2 linked regions of the Macaca fascicularis genome follow. The protein of the gene in region 1 purifies or fractionates together with the protein of each later gene. This does not show direct contact. Links are inferred from orthologs where the notes say so. Each region holds a gene or a part of one and is shown in the gene's direction. Other genes may lie near its edges.

What was found.
Region 2: the proteins of SMAD1 (region 1) and SKI purify together in Homo sapiens (affinity purification with western blotting, with the first as the bait; 3 studies listed by BioGRID). This does not show direct contact. The link is inferred for Macaca fascicularis from reciprocal best matches to the Homo sapiens genes SMAD1 and SKI.

The regions. Positions count from the first base shown.
Region 1 is NC_088379.1:150,444,022-150,446,291, forward strand, and holds the end of SMAD1 (mothers against decapentaplegic homolog 1), read left to right. Parts: intron 1-368; coding exon 369-512; 3' UTR 513-1,763; downstream 1,764-2,270. UniProt on the Homo sapiens protein: Transcriptional modulator that plays a role in various cellular processes, including embryonic development, cell differentiation, and tissue homeostasis.
Region 2 is NC_088375.1:232,546,672-232,550,728, reverse strand, and holds the start of SKI (ski oncogene), read left to right. Parts: upstream 1-1,255; 5' UTR 1,256-1,703; coding exon 1,704-2,672; intron 2,673-4,057. UniProt on the Homo sapiens protein: May play a role in terminal differentiation of skeletal muscle cells but not in the determination of cells to the myogenic lineage. Functions as a repressor of TGF-beta signaling.

The DNA.
Region 1 (2,270 bases):
CTTGATAAAATGAGAATTTAATAATAGCTATTACATTACTATCAGAAATGGGCAATTAAAATAAAAGTTTTACAGTGCCTTTATTAAGACAACTTTATAATGTATTTTAAAATCTTCATTCCTCAAGACTGGTAATTCTTATTGGAATCCTTGGATGGACCCTGGGGAGCTAACATCCATCCTTTGAAATTGCCTGCCAAATTATATGTGTGTTTGTATATGTGTGTTTTTTTCTCCCCGGCGGCGGGGGGCAGGGAGGAAAGATGCATAGCTTTAATCAGAGTCTTGGTTATGTGAACCCTTCTTACTTAATAAGTTTAACCACTGAGTTAAAACAAGTTAAATGACCTCCAGTATGTTTTTCCTAGGGCTGGGGAGCAGAATACCACCGCCAGGATGTTACTAGCACCCCCTGCTGGATTGAGATACATCTGCACGGCCCCCTCCAGTGGCTGGATAAAGTTCTTACTCAAATGGGTTCACCTCATAATCCTATTTCATCTGTGTCTTAAATGGCCCCAGGCATCTGCCTCTTGAAAACTATTGAGCCTTGCATGTACTTGAAGGATGGATGAGTCAGACACGATTGAGAACTGACAAAGGAGCCTTGATAATACTTGACCTCTGTGACCAACTGTTGGATTCAGAAATTTAAACAACAAAACAAAACAAAAAAACCCACCTTGGTAACATACTGTTGATATCAAGAACCTGTTTAGTTTACATCGTAACATTCTATTGTAAAATCAAACTAAAATGCAGACTTTTAGCAGGACTTTGTGTATAGTTAAAGGAGAAATGGCCAAGCCAGGGACAAATTGTCTATTAGAAAATGGTCCTAAGAGATTCTTTGGTGTTTGGCACTTTAAGGTCATCGTTGGGCAGAAGTTTAGCATTAATAGTTGTTCTGAAACGTGTTTTATCAGGTTTAGAGCCCATGTTGAGTCTTCTTTTCATGGGTTTTCATAATATTTTAAAACTATTTGTTTAGCGATGGTTTTGTTTGTTTGTTTTCAGTAAAGGTTAGTCTTGATGATATACATAATAATCTTTCTAAAATTGTATACTGACCATACTTGCTGTCAGAATAATGCTAGGCATATGCTCTTTCCTAAATATGTATGTACAGAGTATTTGGAAGTTAAGAATTGATTAGACTAGTGAATTTAGGAGTATTTGAGGTGGGTGGGGGGAAGAGGGAAATGACAACTGCAAATGTAGACTATACTGTAAAAATTCAGTTTGTTGCTTTAAAGAAACAAACTGATATCTGAATTTTGCTGTGTTTCCATTTTTTAGAGATTTTTATCATTTTTTTCTCTCTCTTTTGGCATTCTTTTATCTCATGCTCTTCAAAAGGCAGTTCTGCAGCTGGTTAATTCATGTAACTGTGAGAACAAATGAATAATTCCTGCTATTCTGAAATTGCTTACATGTTTCAATACCAGTTATATGGAGTGCTTGAATTTAATAAGCAGTTTTTACGGAGTTTACAGTACAGAAATAGGCTTTAATTTTCAAGTGAATTTTTTGCCAAACTTAGTAACTGTTAAATATTTGGAGGATTTAAAGAACATCCCAGTTTGAATTCATTTCAAACTTTTTAAATTTTTTTGTACTATGTTTGGTTTTATCTTTCTTCTGTTAATCTTTTGTATTCACTTATGCTCTCGTACATTGAGTACTTTTATTCCAAAACTAGTGGGTTTTCTCTACTGGAAATTTTCAATAAACCTGTCATTATTGCTTACTTTGATTAAAAATTTGTCATTTCCTTTGTTCACCTACTAGATTTTAGGATCAGTAAAGTTTGCTACCCTTCTGAGAGTTTTTTTCTTAAATATCCTCCACCAAACATGAGTGAAATTACTATTTCAGAGACTGGACACAGCAGCATGAAGAGACTGGAGCCAATTTCAGTCACAAAACACAGGAGATGTACACCTTTAAAAATTAAGAAAAACTACAAAAATCTTACATGTATGAACTTTTTAATTCTAGAAATTATAGCAACAGCACTTGTTGGTTAGTACCAGGCAGTCAACCAAAGCAACAATTTCTAAACTTCAGATGAAGATACAAGCGTGACTGTGGGAGGAGGTAATAAAGGGGGAGGGATGAGAACTCACAGTGCAGCAGATGACGACTACCTTTGCAGTCAGTCTACTTAAGGCTGGGATGATCCCAACACTACCCATTCCCCCACAAAAAAGTTTCCCAATGAGGGACACAGATTGAAGGACACTTAGATTATTTCCTGCCCCAATAGA
Region 2 (4,057 bases), on another chromosome or scaffold:
CGAAAGCCGTCTCAGCGCTCCGAGGCCCTGGGGCGGAGGGCAAGGGTCTCGCCGGCCTGCCCGCCGGGACCCGCGGGACCGAAATTCTGATAAGCCACCTGGCCGGGGTGGCTGGCAAACCGGCCGCGTCGGGGGCACCCGACGCCGCCCCTCTCAGGCCCGAAACCCCTGGCCCGCGCATCAGGGACAGTCCGCCCGGGGCCGTCGGGCGGGGCGGGGCTGGCGCGGGCGGGAGCCGTGGACACTCGGCCACCGGGCCACGGGGCAGCGGGGGCCGCTGGGCTGCGCCGCCAGGGTCACGCGGCGCGGTGCCTGTCTCGGCGCGGGGTCCCTGGGCGTGGCCGCTGTCCCCCTCGTGTGTGGTACCCCAGGTCACCGTGTGGCGTCCCGGTAGTGTGTGGGACCCCAGAGGCGTCCGGGGCCTCCCCGCTGTGTGGCGTCCCACCCTGGGAGAACCCCGGCTGCGTGGCGTGGCCCCCCGGCCTCCCCCAGCTGGTTTGCGGTCGTGGCGGGGGCCTGTGGGTTTCTGGGCCCCGGCGGCGGCGAGACGGGCGCCTTCCCAGCCGCGCAGGAAGCGGCCTCGGCCGGAAGGGGGGCCCCGGGCGCCACCGCCGCCTCCGCCTCCGCCCGCGCCGAGCGGCCTTCGACGGGCGGGGCCGAGCGGGGCCGAGCGGAGTCGAGCATGGCCGAGCGGAGCCGAGTCCTGGCCGAGAGTAGCCGAGTCGTGGCAGGGCGGGTCCGAGCGTGGCCGAGTCCCGGGCGAGCGGAGCCGAGCGCGGCCGAGTCCGGGCGGGGAGCGCGCGTTCCTGGAAGAGCCCGACTGGGGAGCGGGTCACATTCTTGGCCAGCGCTCGGGCTGAGGCGGACGCACGGCAACAAACAGCGCGGGGGGCGGGGCCGGCGCGGGGCGGAGCAGGCGGCGCGGGGCGGGGCGGCGCGGCGGCGGCGTGAGCTCAGCGCCGGGCGCTCAGTCCGAGCCGGAGCGAGCCGCCGGGAGGATGTGCGCCGAGCGCCCCGAGCCCCGCGCCGCCGCCGCGCTCTGAGGGCCGCGGGCGAGAGGCGCCTCCGCCGCCCCGGAAGCCGGGCGGGCGGGCCGCGGAGCCGGCGGGCGGGCGGGCCGGGGGCCGGCGGCGGGCGCGACGCGGCCGGCCAGCGCCGCCGGGACGAGCCGGGCGGGCGCCGCGCGGTGGGAGGAGCGGGGCGGCGGCGGCGCGCCGCGCGAGGACGGCCCGGCGGGCCCCGCGCCCGCGCCCCCGCTCCTCCCGGGCCCCTCGGCCTCGGCCGCCGCGGCGATTCGCGCCTCGCGGCGCCGGCACCTGCCCGCGCGCCCCCCGCGAGCCCCGGGCCCGCGAGCGTTGGCGTTGGCGTTGGCGGCGCGCGCCGGGGCATGCCCCGCGCCTAGAGCCCGGGGGGCGCGCGGGGGACGCGCGGGGGGCCCGGGCGGCGGCGGGCGCGGCGCGGGGCGCGTGGATGTGGCGCCGGGCCCGGGCGGCGGCGGGCTCCAGCGGCGGGACCCCTTCGCCCCGCCCGCCTTCCCCTTCGCGCCCCCGGGCGAGGCCGCGGCCGTGATCGGCCGTGAGCCGGCGGCGGGGGGCGGCCGGGGTCGGGGCCGCGGGCGCCGCCGGGGCGCGCGGGGCGGCGGCGGGGGCCGGGGGGGCCCGGGCGCGCGGGAGCGGGAGCGGCCGGGGGAGACGGAGCGCACCATGGAGGCGGCGGCAGGCGGCCGCGGCTGCTTCCAGCCGCACCCGGGGCTGCAGAAGACGCTGGAGCAGTTCCACCTGAGCTCTATGAGCTCGCTGGGCGGCCCGGCCGCCTTCTCGGCGCGCTGGGCGCAGGAGGCCTACAAGAAGGAGAGCGCCAAGGAGGCGGGCGCGGCCGCGGTGCCGGCGCCGGTGCCCGCAGCCACCGAGCCGCCGCCCGTGCTGCACCTGCCCGCCATCCAGCCGCCGCCGCCCGTGCTGCCCGGTCCCTTCTTCATGCCGTCCGATCGCTCCACTGAGCGCTGCGAGACCGTGCTAGAAGGCGAGACCATCTCGTGCTTCGTGGTGGGAGGCGAGAAGCGTCTGTGTCTGCCGCAGATCCTCAACTCGGTGCTGCGCGACTTCTCGCTGCAGCAGATCAACTCGGTGTGCGACGAGCTCCACATCTACTGCTCGCGCTGCACGGCCGACCAGCTGGAGATCCTCAAAGTCATGGGCATCCTGCCCTTCTCGGCGCCCTCGTGCGGGCTCATCACCAAGACGGACGCCGAGCGCCTGTGCAACGCGCTGCTCTACGGCGGCGCCTACCCGCCGCCCTGCAAGAAGGAGCTGGCCGCCAGCCTGGCGCTGGGCCTGGAGCTCAGCGAGCGCAGCGTCCGCGTGTACCACGAGTGCTTCGGCAAGTGTAAGGGGCTGCTGGTGCCGGAGCTCTACAGCAGCCCGAGCGCCGCCTGCATCCAGTGCCTGGACTGCCGCCTCATGTACCCGCCGCACAAGTTCGTGGTGCACTCGCACAAGGCCCTGGAGAACCGGACCTGCCACTGGGGCTTCGACTCGGCCAACTGGCGGGCCTACATCCTGCTGAGCCAGGACTACACGGGCAAGGAGGAGCAGGCGCGCCTCGGTCGCTGCCTGGACGACGTGAAGGAGAAGTTCGACTACGGCAACAAGTACAAGCGGCGGGTGCCCCGGGTGAGTGGCCCCAGGCCTGGGAGCAGGGGTGGATGTGCTTGCGGTGGGGGACCCTTCTGGGCCACAGGCTCTGGTCTCCAAAGGCTGGGACCTGTGTTTCTGCCGTGCCCCATGTGTCAAGTCTTTGCTTTGTTTTAGGGAAATTCAGAGTGTTCCCCTTGGCAGGGCCAGAGGGTTTAGTAGGAAGGCCCTCCTGCCCTTTCCCCCAGGAGGAGCCTGGAGTGGGGGCTGTGGCGGTGGGGTGGGGGCTAGGCCTGGTGTGTGGGGAAGGCCCACAGGCCCATAGCCTTTGCCCAGATAGGATAGGAAGGCACAGGCCTCCTATGCTCCCGGGAAAGCGGCCTGCTCCGAGGTCAGGGAAGTTAGCTCCAGTTGGGCCCCAGCCGGATGCCTCAGGCCCAGGTCTTCCTTGGGGTTGGGGTGGAGGTGACTGCCCTCACCCCGAAGGCACCCAGCCTCGAAGACGGAGGGCTGCCTGCCCTTGGGCCCCAGGAGACAGAGCTTGGGCGAGACGAGGCCTGGTTTTGTTACTGGCTCCCGGTCCATGTTTGTTGCCTTGAAGTTTTGGGACAGAGACACAAAATGAAGCCAGGTGTTCAGGCTGCAGCGACAGGGGCCTGAGACTGGGCGGCTCCAGCACTGTGCTGGTTGGTCTCCCTGGGCCTGCCAGGGACCAAATCCCAGAGTGCCCCGTGTGGGGTGAGGGCCACTTGGCACCCGGCTGAGGGCCTGGTCAGCAGGCCCCTGGGCCCACATGCTGGAGTTACTGGCGGCTTGGGATTTGTTTTGGACTCACCCATTTCCTTCTCTCCTTCTGAAACGCAGAGGGGTGCGCCGGGGAGGGAGGCCGCTGGCCTGGCTTTGTAGTTTGCCAGTTGGAGGATCTACGGGATCCGGCATGGGCAGCTCCCAGGCCACGAGGCACCGAAATTACTCAGTGGGGTCCTCAGGAACTTTCCGTTGCATACCTCCCCAAGTATGTGTAACTTTTCTTTTAAATATCCAGGCTTATTAAATTGCACACACAGAATGCTGCATTGGCTCAGCTATTCTTGGGAGGCCTAATTAATTCAGCTATTGCATCAAACTTTTTTTTTCTGAATCTGTGAATAGATGCTCCAGCCCGGTTTTCTCTGGGCGCCCCTCCAGCAGAGTGTCAGATCGTGGGGAGGAGGGGCTGTGGATGGAAGCGAGGGACTGTCGCCTCTGCGCGGAGGGGGCTGCGGAGGGTGCATGTGCGTGTGCCTGTGTGTGTGCGTGTGTGTGTGCAGGGGTGCTTCTGACCCTGCCAGGCCAGGGCTCAGGTGGCAGCTGCCTGCAGACCTGTGGGCTGGGGACGGATGCTCGTGGCAGAGCTGCAGACAGACCTCGCAGGCTGGGACCCT